Linked DNA regions of Sus scrofa. The protein of the gene in region 1 interacts with the protein of each later gene in a pairwise test. Links are inferred from orthologs where the notes say so. Each region holds a gene or a part of one and is shown in the gene's direction. Other genes may lie near its edges.

Region 1 (5,051 bases):
TATTCTCCCAAACATAGACAACCACCATTCTGTCTCTATAGATTTGCCTATTCTGGATATTTTATTTTTTTGTCTTTTTAACACTGCACTCGAGGCATATGGAGGTTTCCAGGCTAGGGGTCCAATCCGAGCTACAGCTGCTGGCCTACGCCACAGCCACAGCAATGTGGGACCCGAGCTTCGTCTGTAACCTACACCACATCTCACCGCAACTCCGGATCCTTAACCCACTGATGGAGGCCAGGGATCAAACCTGAAACCTCATGGTTAATAGTCGGTTTCATTAATCACTGAGCAACTACGGGAACTCCATTTATATTTTATATAAATGGAAGCTTACAGTCTGTGGGGTTTTTGTCTAGCTTCTTTCACTTAGCATAGGGTTTGCAAGTTTCATCCACGTAGAATGTCAGAACTTCATTCCTTTTTATGACTGAATGTGTTCCATTGTGTGCATACAGCACATTCTATTTATCAAAGGAGGGTTTGAGCACAGTAGTGACCTGTTTGGAGTGGCATTTCACAAGGCTCATTGCAACTGTTGCTGCCAGGGGTAGAGAATGAATTAACTGTCAAATGCTGTTCTTAGGGGAAACAAGACAAGGCCCAAGAATTGACCTGTAAGTGCTCAAATAATTGAACGAAGAAATTAGCAGACATAGTCTGACTATATATAAACAGTATTTTATGTATTTGGGGGGACCTGTTGCATTTCTTTTGAATGATTAAACATGGGATGTAGCAATAAGATGGTTAATAAGTAAGAATTTAAAATGGAATGTGCACATGTAAAGTACATGACAATTGGAGAATACCATTAATTTGACTTAAAAAAAATGATGGTAATAGTTCTTTTGGAACACGTAAATTTACTCCTCAGAATCATTATTCTCTAAACATAACCTTACCCTAATCATCCAAGATTTCAGGCCAGCTTCTAGAGAGCCGGCTAAGAGAAGAAAAAACTCTCATAAACAGACATTTTTAATGTCTGTGCAGATCAGGTGGATGGGAGCTAGTTTAGTTTTATTTTGGGAAGTTGGTGTCAACCAAAAGGTGGCAGAACCTGGATCAAAAAATTGAGAGTTCTGTTGCGGCATCTGTCATTTGGAGCAAAGACGTTAACTACTGGAATCTCTAGATCCTGAAACTGGCATCAAACACATGTATTGATTCAAGGTTTGGGCTAAGTACAAGAAATAGTTACTAGGTTATCCAGTTTTCAGTACGTGCAACTTCTGGGGCTTGCAAATCTTTGAGGAGTGAGGGGCAAGGAAAACTAGACCTAAAAGGCGAGGCTCGAAAGGTGATGATCAAAAATGCACTCTATGTTTAAAATGCGATTCGGTGGGCGGGGTGGCCAAATGTTTCGGAAAATAAACATAGAACGCGGAACTTCCCTTGCAGGTAAGGCTGAGTTGGCTTCACGGGGACCAGAGGAGGCAGGGACAGCCGTTTCGATTCCTAGGAATCAGCGGGGCGGTGGGCGGGGGAGGCGGCGCGGGCCCGGCGCTCGCGCTGGCGGGGCCGGGAATTTGGAGAGGATCCCTGGTCGCGCGGCGGCGGCGGCGGCGCGCGCGGGTGCGCGTGTGAGCGAGCGAGGGAGCGGGAGGGCGAGTGCGCCCGGTATTGGCAGCGGAGGAGTGGAGGCTGGGCGGCTCCGACTCCCTGACGCCAGCGCGACCAGATCAATCCAAGCTCCCGGAGCAAGCGAGCGAGCGGGCGGGCGGGAGGAGGAAGGAGAGGCCGAGCCGCTGAGCCCGAGCCGAGGCGCGGGGAGGGACCCTGCGAGCGCAGCGCCCGGCCGGCCGGACCGGGGCCGCGGGGGACCCCGCTCGCCCGGCCACCTCGTGCGCCCGCGCGGACGGGCGCGCAGCCAACCCGGTAAAACGAAACAGACCCGAACCCAACTTTCTCCTCCGCCGCGTCCCCGCCCTCCCTTCGGCGCCCCGCGGACTTTCCAGCGCCGCCGCCACCGCCTCGGGTTGGGGCGGGCGCGGGCCAGCCGGGTGGCCGCGGTCGTGCACCGGGCCAGTGGTGCGGTTGAGGCGGAGAGGGGGCTCTTCCCCGCGTGGGGCGGACCGGCACCCCCCCCCCCCATGATGGCGCCTCCCGGCAGCTCTAGGGAACCAACCTGCCACCTTCTCTCCCCTCGCGCTCCGCCAGCCAGGCTGGGCTTGGGCCGGAGTGCCCCCTGCGTCTTTGTTGGGTCCCCGGCGGGGACGCCGCGTCCCTTGGCCCCCAGCCTCGCCCCGATCCCTGCCCGCGGCCGGCCCTCGGCGGCCACCCTCCCCCCTCCGCCCGTTTCCCTTTCCCTTCCTGCAGCCGGGCCTGAGCCGTCGGCGCGGCCCGCCGGGCCCATTGTGTCCCGCGCCGGCCGGGCGACCCCTGCGGGAGTCGGAGGGCGGCCGCGGGCGCTGTCCTTTCCGCGAAGTGGGGCTCGCGCGAGGGGGCACCCGGTGCCCTGCGTCCCTCCGGCTTCGGGCCGGGCTCCCTCTTCTGCCCCGGCCAGCCTCTTGAGGGTCGAGGTCAAGGAAAGTTCTCACCTAAATTCTCTCTAATTTAGTCAAAGGTTTGGCTGCACGTAATTTTTTTTTTTCTCTTCCGCCTACCCCCCCCCCCCCCCCGCGCCCCGAGTCTCCAAGTGTCGTCTCATTCCTTTCCCTTTCCCGGATTTGATTGCCTCACTGCATGTGTATTTGTGAGTTCGCCGTGGAACAAGTGTTCATTTACTCTGCGCATGGTCTTTGTTAGTGTTTCTCGGGGTTGTTTCTGCAGGAAGGTGGGGGTGGTGGGTGTGAGAGAGACAGACGTGGGCTTGTTTTTCTAGTTGCTTAATACATATGAAGGCTTCCCAGGGAGAGCGTTTCCTTGATGTACTTTGGGAAGGGAGGAGGAACAGATGCCTGCCGGATCTTACAACTCCAGTAGCTGCGGCTTTTGTTTATTTTGAGGCGTGGACGATGTTTAAATGCACCGTGCAAGATCCCCAGTAAGGCGCTTTCCCTTCTGCAGATCGAGGAGCGTCTCAGAACTGTCTCCTGAGAAAGCACCATTGTCGTGAGAGCTCTGACAGCCGGCCTTTTTCTTTCCGCTGAGGTTCTTTTGCCATTGCAGCTGAAGTTTCAAAGTCTATGGAATGATCCCAGAAGTTGCCTGAGCTCTGTATGCCTTTGCGTTGCTGAAACTCTTCGCGATTAGCTCGATCGCAGAATGCCTTTATTTCAGAGCATATCTCGCTCTCCTTGGCTGTCGTGGATGACGTGCCCACATTCAGGAACACAGTGAGAAAACTGTCTTCTGCCCATGTTGATTTTTCGTCTTGTTTCTAATTACTCCTTTGCACTTTATTGGCGGTAGGTGAGCGGTCTTGGAACCAGGATTTCAGAAGAATTGAGGCAGAATCAATGTTCACCGCCCCAGGATTTTCAGTTAGTATAAATATTTTGCATCAGTGTTATTCTGATGGAGGTGCCAGGCCTAAATCTGCTGTGCTGATTTAAGTATTTGTCCTCTGTCCTCCCTCCCTCTTTGCATTTGCAGTTACTTGATATTTCTGTGCAGGTGGTGTACATTTGTGTAGTATTGCCATTCTTAGGAAACTGTAACCAGGGTCGTGGGAGATGATTTTCTAGAGGTGGGTGATGCCAGAGTCTCTGGAGGATCCGGGCAGGATCGGGTGTCTTCTGAGGGTAGGGATTTGTCCTTGATTTAGTTTTGACCCTTCCAACCATAGGTATGTAACTAAATACATTTTTCCTTCTTGCAGTATCCTTTGGTTTTGTACCTTCGAAGAGCTGATGACCTTTGCATTTTAGAGAAATGATAGTTTTTAGGCGGTTAAAAATGTTACGCTCTTACACCTCTTGGCATTTATTTATTTTTTCCAAGTTCATTAAAGCGTTAAGAGCAGGTAAGCCTCGTTTTCCCCAATACATTTATTAGTTGAAAACTAAATTGCAGTTTGTAATTTTGATTTCTAGTAATTCTGGGTTTAGTAACTTGGTTAGATTGGAAAAAGAATAAACTTGAGTGTAATTAGATGAGTATATTTAAGCTGCAGTCGCCTACATAATCAAGGCCAAGTTGTGTGTGTATAAAAGATCTCATTTGTGTAGTCTTACAAGGCTAATGGAGGCATCATTGAGGCTTTATAAATAATGTAAGTTGTGTATAATGTAGCGTCTCCAGAGACGGCAGAGAAAGCATCATTACCAGCCTTTTCAACCTGCTTGAGATCTTAAATTGATTTACAGCACTGAACTGGTGCAAAATGATACATCAGGATGACATGGGGTCAGCCTGTAAAAGTCTATGATGTCAGCCTATTAGTTCAGTCATCATAATTAAACCGTATTACAGGGGCAGCTAAGCAGGAGTCTGGCGTTATCCTTCAGATATGGGTGGTACATGTATTTTGTTTATGGTGGAAAGGCTGAACTGACAAGGAACGCTAGGGTTTCTAAAAAAGGGGAAAGGCTTACAGAACTCTGAATTTCTGAAAAAAACTGAAGGTACGTGAAGGGCTGTTCAGTCTGCATTGTCTAAATAGCTTTCCATTAGGTCGTGGAGAAACAGATGCTTTGGGGTGCTGATAAGGACCGTTGCAGCTCAGATCTGTGCACTGAACCATGCTTCATGTGAGCTTGAATTTAACTTGGCCTTAGGGACTTTCTAAAATATCAGAGGACCACATACTTTGTATCCCTCATCCTTTTATTAACACTGACTTGCACTGTATTGATGCACCCACTGCTATGTTATTTCTTTAACTAGTCATAGTTAACCAGGTCTCCACTGAAAAGTGAGATATTGGAATTGAACATATGAGCAATTCAGGAAAAGAAGATTCTTATTTTTGGCTTAACTTTCTGGCAGTCCTTATTCAGTTTGTGGGACACCTAGGGCTGTGCTGTCCATTGAGGTAGCTATAATGGCATGTGGGTATTTAATTTGAAATTAGTTAAAATGAAATAAAAATACATCTTTTCAGTAGCACTAGCCACATTGCAGGTGCTCAGGAGCTAATGTGGCTAGTGGCTTCCACGTTG
Region 2 (4,815 bases), on another chromosome or scaffold:
ATGCTGTCTGTAGCTTGTAGAGCTGAAAATACTTATTATCTGGATCTTTGCAGAAGATGTTCGCTCCTAATTCAAAAGTGTCTGGCATATATTAGGTTTTTGATATATGGAGAGATTATCACTGAATATCTGCTGGAACAGTCTGATGCAGTTTATAACCGTGTGGAGAAGGTCAGACCTGGATTAAGATTCTGGTGCTCGAAGTTCCTGCTGTGGCACAGCGAATTAAGGATTCGATCCCTGGCCCAGGAACTTTGATGTGCCCCAAAATAAAACATTGTAAAAAAAGTAAAACAAAACCCTGCAGAGTCAGAGTTTTGGGTGAGGTAAATGAGTTATGGTGAGGTGAGGGAGGTATTGACTGCAACTGCAGAGTTAGATTCTCTCTTAAATTAGTATTTTCTTCATCATGGAGTTTTTTTGCATTAATTTTTCTTTTTCTTTCTTTCTTTTTTTTTTTTTTTGTCTTTTTGCTATTTCTTTGGGCCGCTCCTGCGGCATATGGAGGTTCTCAGGCTAGGGGTCCAATCGGAGCTGTAGCTGCCAGCCTACGCCGGAGCCACAGCAACGCAGGATCCAAGCCGTGTCTGCAACCTACACCACAGCTCACGGCAACGCCGGATCGTTAACCCACTGAGCAAGGGCAGGGATCGAACCCGCAACCTCATGGTTCCTAGTCGGATTCGTTAACCACTGCGCCACGACGGGAACTCCTGCATTAATTTTTCTTAAAAAATATTGCACAGGAGTTCCCTAGTGGCCTAGTGGTTAAGGATCTGGCAATGTCACTGCTATGGCTTGGGTCGCTTCTTCGGTGCGGATTCAACTCCTGGCCTGGAAAACTTGCCATGCCCTGAGGAACAGCCAAAAAAAAAAAAAATATGTATATATATCTCTCACATATATCACACAAACATTTATCTTGATAACAGGGTCATTTGGGGCACTCAAATTTCGGCTAATTCTTGCCCTGATATTTATAATGTCAAGGGATGGGCCCTGAAATACACAGTTTTGTCCTCTTTCTTCCTGCTTTTGATACAAGAAACTTTGAGCTCTGTGGCCCGCGAGCACTGAGGAGCCACAGAGAGCTCTTGAGCAGGGGAGTTTCCGGTTAGTGCAGATTCCAAAGGTTTACTGTGGATGGGGAGCCAGAACTAGCGAGAGGAGTACGCTTACGGGTGTGAGGGATGCACGAGCTCCGGGAAGTGGGCAGGAGGTCCCGCATTTCTCCGCCGGGAGCCAACTAAGTGGGGGGCGCCGCGCCCGAGCCCCCTCTGCCGAGCCAGGACCCGGATGTATAGCACGCCTGAGGCTGCACAGCGCTGCTCTGCAAGGCGCCTCGCTGCACGCATTGGCAGCTGCTGAGCCGGCCAACTGTCTTCTCCCCGCCCCCACGCCACCGGGCGTCCGGTCAAGCACCTGGCAGCCGCCTCGCACCGGGGACCCGCAACACCTTGCTGCATTGTTGTCGCCTCTGCTATCTATTCCCTCCCAAGACAGGACCCAGCACCCACCCCTACCTGTGCGGCACTCGTGCGCCTTTAAGAAGCTAGACGCAGCCAGGGGTGGGCGTGGTCGCCGCGAGCTAAAGAGGGGGGCGGTGTCGGGCCACCCTGATTGGCCCGAGGCCCGGGCGGTGGCCGCGCGCGCCTGCGCAGTGCGCGGTCGCGCGCGCCGCGGGGAGGAGGGCGCGCGGGTGCTAATTGGTCGCGGCATAGGCCCCGCCCGCGAGTGGAGGGCAGTCACGTGACGCGACGGCTGGGGGCTCCCGGCGCGGGGGACGCTGGTGGCCAAGATGGCGGCGGAGCTGGTGGAGGCCAAAGTGAGTGAGCGGCCGCGGCGCCGGCCCGGGAGGGTGGGGGGTGCGTGGACCGGGCGGCAGGCCGAGGTCTGCGCCTTCCGCTCGGGGTCCTGAGACACAGCCCGCTCGCACCTCGGCGTCCGGCCTCCTCGCCCGCCCCTGGTCCCCGGACTCCGGGTGCGGGCGGGGCGCGCGGAGGCCGGGGGCGGGGCCCCCGAAAACCTCACCCCACTCTTCGCCCTGGGGGGTCGGCCCCTGGGCTTGAGCTTGGGGTCCCCTTCTCCAGCTCGAGCGGTTAGGTTACCTACAAATCTCCCTAAACACGGGCACAGGGCCGCGCCTCCCAGCTTGAGGCACAGTCCCCACGGACAGCTTCACGGGCTGAGCTGCTTGTCTTCTCGTCCCAAACAGGGGTCCGCGCTCTTTGGCCTTTGGGATTGTCTGCGCGTCTTCTCTCCCGCCATGGCTGCCGTCAGGGTCTTAGCCTCCTCGCCCCAGCCGACTAGCCGACTAGACTGGGGTTGGCTACTCCTTGCTCAGAAGGGTCCCCTGACTCTTCTGCCACCGCTTGCACCGTCCGGAGTGATGAGCTGGGGTCCTCAATGTCCCTCAAAAATAGTGTGTCTCTTGGGGTCTGTACGCTAAACTGGTGTTTGGGGCCCTGTTCAGCTCCTGCTCTGGTTCCAGAACCCCGCCTCCCTCCCGACACCTTCCTCACCCTGGAGTGGGCTTGGTGTTAACTGAGTGTGCCCCCCTGGGATGGAGCTCTGGCCCCTGTGTCCAAGACCTTCCCATCTCTCTCCTCTCAGTCTTCGGTTCTGAGCTCTGCCTTCCTTCTCCCTCTTCCCCTTTAGGACAGCATCTATGCCCTTTTGGACTACTTCTGGGGGTTCTAGTCCTCACCCTTGCGGGATCAGACTCTTATTTCCCAACCTTGGCTGTTTCCTCTGTATTCTACTTCATTGTGGATCTACTGCTCAGATCACACTCCCTTTCCACCTAGCCCCAGAACCCCTGCTTTTGCATCCCAGCTTTGGCATCTGAGGCCCCTCTCTCTTTCTTCTGGTCTCTCGTGTTGGTCCTTGGAAGGTCTCTGATTGACTGCAGGGTAGGATTTTTTCTGTAGGGTAGTTCCTAGTGCTTCTCTGCTGTATTCCTGTTTGGGGTCCAGGTTCCACATCCCATAGATACCATCCCTTCTCTTAGCTTAGGGTCCTTTTTAACCCTCTTGGGACTAAGCTGGAAGCATCAGTTTTCCAGAGATGTATTTTCTTCAAGGTAGCCTCTCTGAGGTGAGGCTCCAGAACTCTTGCCCCTGACTGCACGAGACTTCTTCTGTAAGAAGTTTACTCAAGGCCACAGGTCTCAGGGATGTAGAGGGCAGGACCTTTGCAGAACTGAGGCACCCCCACCCCTCTGGTCTGTCCTCCCCAGGGTCTTGACCTGTAAATGTTTTCTTTCCCTTTCCTTACATCTCCCTTCCCTTCCCACTGGGGTCTGAAATGAAGCCCTCAAGGTTCTGTGATTATAGGGTATTACCCTCCCTTCACCCCTGAGCTCCCTCCCCCTGTACCTAGAACACATGCTTCTGCTCCTCTGGAATTTTGAGAAATTGAGTACCTGCCCTAGAGATGTGCAAGCCCAAGGCAGCAGCCTGCAACCTGAAGTCCCCTGGAGCCCTGAAATTTAACCTCCTCTGCTGTGGGGTTTTGGCTCTGGGCTCCCGCCGATCCTCCAGCCAGAGAGTGGGGTCTGAACTCTTATACCATTCAGGGCCTTGAAATATGATCTGATGAACTCTGCTTGACCCTCCAGTGGCTGCCCCCCCAACCCCAATTAAATCAAGTTGACCCTTTTTCTTGTCTTTTGTCTTTTTTTTTAAAGCTGCACCCACAGCGTATGGAGGTTCTCAGGCTAGGGGTCTAATTGGAGCTATTGCTGCCGGCCTACGCCAGAGCCACAGCAACGTCAGATCCGAGCCGCATCTGCAACCTACACCATGGCTCACGGCAACACCGGATCCTTAACCCACTGAGCAAGGCCAGGGATCAAACCCACAACCTCATGGTTCCTAGTCGGATTTGTTTCCGCTGCGCCACGACGGGAACGCCTTATAATTTTTTTTGTCTCTTGTCTTTTTTTTAGAGGACCCTTTTTCAAGTTTTCTAAAATGTGAGCCTCCATTCAGGGGGGCTCACGACTGCAGCATAGCTTGCTCTGATTCTAGGGAGACTTCTTTTTCCTCCAGTGCTTTGCTGTCACCAAGAAGTGCTTACTATACGTCTCATTGAAATATCTCCCTCTTTTAGGAGCTTTCTCACCCTTTTGTAGTGAGAACCAGAGATTTTGTCTTTTGGAGTGCAAAATGGGCTGGTTCGAGGGGAGGGTGAAGGGGGCTTGTTGATAAACTTGGAAATCTGAGACTCTTAACCTGAGACGGGGTGGTCTAGAAAGTCCCTGAGAGGAGGGTGCGTAGTAGTTTGCACGGAGCTCTGATTTCCTGGAGAGAGGAGCCCCTAAGTTGAGCACAGCTACTCTATCAAGGCTGTTGTTTCTCTAGGCAGCTCCAAAGGAGCCTAGAGTTGAGGCTCTGGAAGCTGCTGGGGCCTGGCGCTGTTTATAAACACAGATCCGAGGGGCAGGGTCAGTATGAAGCCACAGCAGGAAGTGTTCTGCAAAGCGCTTGGGGCTTCTTCCTGAATGTTTGCACCCTGCTCGTGCGCCCCCCCCCCCACCAGTGTCAAGGGCAGGCTCCTGGGTGGTGGCAGCTGCTGAGAAATACGAGTTGTGAACATATGGCAGTTTGAGGGGTGTGCCCCAGGATGCAGGAGCAGGAGGCGGCTCCGGATGTCCAACCTGGTGGACGGGGTAGGTGGGGGCAGGGGCTCCCAGGGGCGGGGTGACTCCAAAAGGCCAAGCCCACCTGCCTTTGACTCCATGGCCAGTGGTCAGCTTCCACATGACATCGCCTCTCCCCTTGAGTGCTTTGGGCCTCTTCCAGAAGAAACATC
Region 3 (5,083 bases), on another chromosome or scaffold:
AAACCCGAATACAGCAATACTAAACCTATCCTAAAATAAACACTGAAAGATCTTCTCTAAATATAAAAGAAGCAAAAAGCTATAGGAAAGAAGAAATCCAATTGGAAAGTAAATGACTTAACTAAGTGAGTATACAGATTAAAAAGAAAAAAAGTGAAAGAGAAGAAAGAAATTTCCGAAATCTCCCTTGTTTCAGTTTAATTTATATCCTGTTGTTTTCATCTTAGAACAAAAGACATGCTGGTCACCTTCTTCTGAGTATTACATCATCAATTCTTAGTAGTTTGCTTTCCCTGTCATCCTACTCTCAGGCTGGAAAATTCTAGACTTGCTTCTTTTAGACTCTGTGGAATTTGACTACCTGCCTAATCTCTGGACCTGGCACTAGCCCTACCACAGCGTTAATTAATCCAGGGACTGAAAAGGAGGGAGCCCAGAAACCAGCAAGCCACCTCAGGCCACATCTTAACAAGAATATAGACAGTTAATTGCTGGCTAATTGTTTTAAAGTTCATATGATGAGTGCTCAGGTAGCTATGAAAGCAAGGTATTCTAGTGGTTTTGGAGGAATCCCATTAAGCTTTCTGTCATAACAACAGATAGCTGCTAATTGTCCAAGTAAGTCTCTGAGTAAGTAAGATTCACCTGGAATATGGAGTTTGGGAGGAGGTGGCTATTAATTAGAATTGGTAGTAAATAAATAATAATAAAGAAGACGAATAAACAAATATGATTATTAATGAGCTATTAGAAGAAGAAATCAACTACCTAGTTTTCAGCCAAAAGATGATACAAAGAGCAACAGCTGGTTGTCTCTCACACAAGACCTTGACCCTTCCCTTCCAGGGTTTCATGACCTAATAAAATATTTTATTTCAATTAGGCTAAAATTTCATGCGTTGCTTTGGTTCAGATTAACTCAGGGAATTTAAAAAACAAAACTGATTTGGTTTCCCGCTGAGTCAATAATTTAAAATCTAATTGTGTAGGGAGGAGTGGCAAACTATCAGGTTTAGGTTCACCTGTTTGATTCTAGACACTGCTTCCAGCCCCTGCTACAGAACCACATTGAGAAGGGAACGCCTGGAATTTAGTTACATTCCCACAGGCAATGGAATTTTTCTGCTGTTTAAGAGGTAGGTAAGAGCATTTCACAACTAGGTAACTTTCAGAGATTTGTCGAAGGTTCTGCACAGTGAGTGACCCACCTGAGATATTATACACCGCAAGGTACGCACAACTGTAAGATTCCTAGACTCAGATCTACCATTATTTGCTGTGTGATCAGGTAAATCACTATTCAAGTCTCTGTTTCTTACCTATAAAATGGGTCGAATATGCCACATGAGGCTGCTTTGAGAAATACAGAACTTAAGAGATCCTGGGTTCACTGTTAGTTTCGTGTGAGGCTTTTCTTTTCTTTTTATTTTTTTTTGTCTTTTTAGGGCCGCAGCTGGGGCATATGGAGGTTCCTAGGCTAGGGGTCCAATCGGAGCTGTAGCAGCCGTCCTACCCCAGACCCACAGCAACGCGGGATCCAAGCCTCCTCTGCGACCCACACCGCAGCTCACGGCAAGGTCGGATCCTTAACCCACTTAGCGGGGCCAGGAATCGAACCCTCATGGATGCTAGTAGGGTTCGCTAACCACTGAGCCACGACGGAAACTCCTAAAGTGTGGGCTTTTTGATAAGGATCCAAAAAGGAAAGGAGACTTCCTGCCTCCTCGCTCAGGTCAGAGTCTTGACGAGCCCGCCCCCTCCCCATCTGCCACACCACCCTCTCCCTCCTTGAATTTGAGCATCAGAACATTGTTCTAGTCTAGACTCTACCGCTACGTATGCGACGCCTGGCAATTCCAAATCTCTGGGTTTCGGTCGCCACCCAGGATGCTCATACGGTCTGTCCCGACCCTAACAACATGGCTGCGGGAAGTGGCTTTCAGGAAGAAAGAAGGTGTGGCACTGAAGGATCACTTCCGCTTCCGTCGGCGCAAACGCTTTCATTTCTTGAGCTACGGTGACTAAGATGGAATCGATTTTGGAGTCGCGGTCGGGACACTGGGCCGGGGGTCCGGCTCCTGGACAGTTCTACCGCATTCCTCCCACTCCTGGATCCATCGTGGACCCGGCATCCGTGCTCTATGGGAGTCCGATTACGCGCACCCAGTAAGCTCTTGGCGTCTTAGCCTGGGCGGGGGAGAGACCGTGGGGCCTGGTGCGGCCGGCTGGTTCGGGGAGCCAGGGCAGGCGAGGCGGGGACCCCCGGGCGCGCTAACAGCGGGACAGCTCGAGGAGTAGGGCCTGGAGAATGAAAGGAGCCATGGAAAGTCAGAAGCGGAACCCACAGAGCGGGAAGCGGGCCTAGGCTATTCTCCTCCACCTCTCGCCAGACCCTTCTTTATCTCCAGGAACCCCATGGTGACCGGGACCTCGGTTCTGGGAGTCAAGTTTGAGGGCGGAGTGGTGATTGCAGCAGACATGCTGGGCTCCTATGGTTCCTTGGCTCGTTTCCGCAACATCTCTCGCATTATGCGAGTCAACAACAGCACCATGCTGGGTGCTTCAGGAGACTACGCTGATTTCCAATATTTGAAGCAAGTTCTCGGCCAAATGGTGTAAGTCATCTAGAGAATAGGAGTAGTTCCCAGGTGGGGAGGGGAATCCACTGTTTTTATCCCATCAAGATGTTCTAGTGTGGAGGAACTTGAAGCTGCAGTAGAGGATGGGGAGACTTGTTGGGGGGTGAAAGATTCGAGGATGTTTGCAAATAGTTTATTTTAGTGGGTTTAAGAGGGGAAGATTGTGGTCACATCTTTTGGGGGTGGATGGAAAACCCGATTTCTGTTCTCTCCCTTTTCTCACAACCAATTCTTTTTAAGGATTGATGAGGAGCTGCTGGGAGATGGACACAGCTATAGTCCTAAAGCTATCCATTCGTGGCTGACCAGGGCCATGTACAGCCGCCGCTCCAAGATGAACCCCCTGTGGAACACCATGGTCATCGGAGGCTATGCTGATGGAGAGAGGTTGATTTGAATACAAATAACTATCTCTTCTCCCTGAGTGAATCCCACTTCTGACTCAGACCCCTTGGTCCCATCCTTCAGCTAACATATAGAAACCTAAGGTGAAATGAGTTCTTTGACCTATTGTGTCCTGTTAGCTTCCTGGGTTACGTGGACATGCTTGGTGTAGCCTATGAAGCCCCTTCGCTGGCCACTGGTTATGGTGCATACCTGGCTCAGGTAAGTAGTTGGTTGAGGGATGAGGGATAGAAGAAGACAGAAGGCAATAGGGATTAGTGGTTGTCTACCCTTGCAATTCTGACATGAGGAACAGGCTAGGATCCCTACTGCTGGGCAGATGGTTTTCTTTGTGGTCCAGAGACCATGTCAAGGTGATAGGTCCAGGAGTCAATATACATGTGCAAAGAGAGGACACTCTAGAATTTCCCTTTCAAGTGGGTCTTAGCACAAACAGTTCATGCTGGTGAGGCAATAATGAATGTCACCTTTTCACTCATTTATGATTCCTTTTACATTAAGGATTTGCGTCAAATTGCCTGGCATTCAGCCCCTCATATCTCCCATGTTTTCTTTTTTTTTTTTTTCTCCCTCTGATCTCTCTAGCCTCTGTTGCGAGAAGTTCTGGAGAAGCAGCCAGTGCTGAGCCAGGCCGAGGCCCGAGAGCTAGTGGAACGCTGCATGCGAGTGCTGTACTATCGAGATGCCCGTTCTTATAACAGGGTGAGAAGTGTGCATAAGGTGGTGGGGATCTAATTGGCAGGTTCTTGGATACTTCCCGTCCCTGAGTCTCTATGCTTCAAAGAAGAGGGTGTCCCATTTCTGTGTCTTCGCTTTTTCATTTTAGGGAAAGACCCTCAACTTGACCTTTGACCAGGGACTTCTTTCATGAGAGCTCTGCTTTTCTTTCAGTTTCAAATTGCCACTGTAACCGAAAAAGGTGTTGAAATAGAAGGACCCCTGTCTGCAGAGACCAACTGGGATATTGCCCACATGATCAGGTGATTGAAATTACAGTTAAAAAAAAAAAAAGTAGTTGGTAGAAAAGTTGGGAGACCCCTTGGTTGAACTAAGCTTAGTTTTTCTGGTGGTCTCAACCAAAAAATTCTCTGGGTGGAGAGGGTTTGGGTTGAGGATAGAGCTGCTTTTAGGAATTGATGTCTTACTCTATGGCTTCACAATCTTACATGGTTTTTTTCTTTTCAGTGGCTTTGAATGAAATATAGATAGATGCATTTTCCAGAACTGAAGTGGTACTTCTAACTTTGAACGTGGCTGGTTCAGAGATACAGTTCTTTTGTAAAATAAATAAATCCTTTAAAACATTTGGTGAGTGGTTGTATTGTTTGACTAGGTTACACCAAGAGTGAAACTGCTAAGTACTGCTGTAAGCCATCTATTCCTCTGCTAGTCAGAGGACCCTTTGGTTCTTGCTTTTTTTTTTTTTTTTTTTTTTTTGGCTTTTTAGGGCTGCACTTGGGGCATATGGAAGTTTCCAGGCTAGGGGTCAAATCAGAGCGATAGCTGTGGGCCTACACCACAGCTATAGCAACTCAGGAGCTATGTCTGCGAACTATACCACAGCTCACCTCACAGCAACATCAGATACTTAACCCACTGAGCGAGGCCAGAGATGGAACCCACGTCCTTGAGGATACTAGTTGTTAAAGCCACAATGGGAGTTCCTGATTCATGGGGTTTTTGTTTTGTTTTGTTTTGTTTTGTTTGGTCTTTTTGCCTTTTGTAGGCCTGCACCTGTGGTATATGAAGGTTCCCAGGTTAGGGGTCCAATTGGAGCTGTAGCCACAGCAATGTGGGATCCAAGCCGCATCTGTGACCTACACCACAGCTCAGGGCAACGCTGGATCCTTAACCCACTGAGCAAGGGCAGGGACCAAACCCGCAACCTCATGGTTCCTAGTCGGATTTGTTAACCACTGAGCCACAGCGGAAACTCCTGATTCATGGTTCTTAAAGCATAGAGTTCTCTGTGTGATAACACAGGACACCTACTGCTGTCGTCATTGGGTCTTTACTGAAGGCTGCTCTCTATAGAACTC

What was found. The genes of interacting proteins can lie anywhere in the genome.
Region 2: the proteins of SMAD1 (region 1) and PIAS4 interact in a two-hybrid assay, tested with the Homo sapiens proteins (2 studies listed by BioGRID and IntAct). The link is inferred for Sus scrofa from reciprocal best matches to the Homo sapiens genes SMAD1 and PIAS4.
Region 3: the proteins of SMAD1 (region 1) and PSMB4 interact in binary tests that used the Homo sapiens proteins (3 or more experiments, as listed by UniProt). The link is inferred for Sus scrofa from reciprocal best matches to the Homo sapiens genes SMAD1 and PSMB4.

The regions. Positions count from the first base shown.
Region 1 is NC_010450.4:82,984,559-82,989,609, reverse strand, and holds the start of SMAD1 (mothers against decapentaplegic homolog 1), read left to right. Parts: upstream 1-1,700; 5' UTR 1,701-1,884; intron 1,885-2,556; exon of another isoform or gene 2,557-2,572; intron 2,573-2,640; exon of another isoform or gene 2,641-3,431; intron 3,432-5,051. UniProt on the Homo sapiens protein: Transcriptional modulator that plays a role in various cellular processes, including embryonic development, cell differentiation, and tissue homeostasis.
Region 2 is NC_010444.4:74,726,694-74,731,508, reverse strand, and holds the start of PIAS4 (E3 SUMO-protein ligase PIAS4), read left to right. Parts: upstream 1-1,716; 5' UTR 1,717-1,798; coding exon 1,799-1,825; intron 1,826-4,815.
Region 3 is NC_010446.5:97,834,811-97,839,893, reverse strand, and holds PSMB4 (proteasome subunit beta type-4), read left to right. Parts: upstream 1-1,984; 5' UTR 1,985-2,026; coding exon 2,027-2,166; intron 2,167-2,408; coding exon 2,409-2,615; intron 2,616-2,879; coding exon 2,880-3,026; intron 3,027-3,163; coding exon 3,164-3,245; intron 3,246-3,629; coding exon 3,630-3,746; intron 3,747-3,935; coding exon 3,936-4,024; intron 4,025-4,229; coding exon 4,230-4,242; 3' UTR 4,243-4,350; downstream 4,351-5,083. UniProt on the Homo sapiens protein: Non-catalytic component of the 20S core proteasome complex involved in the proteolytic degradation of most intracellular proteins. This complex plays numerous essential roles within the cell by associating with different regulatory particles.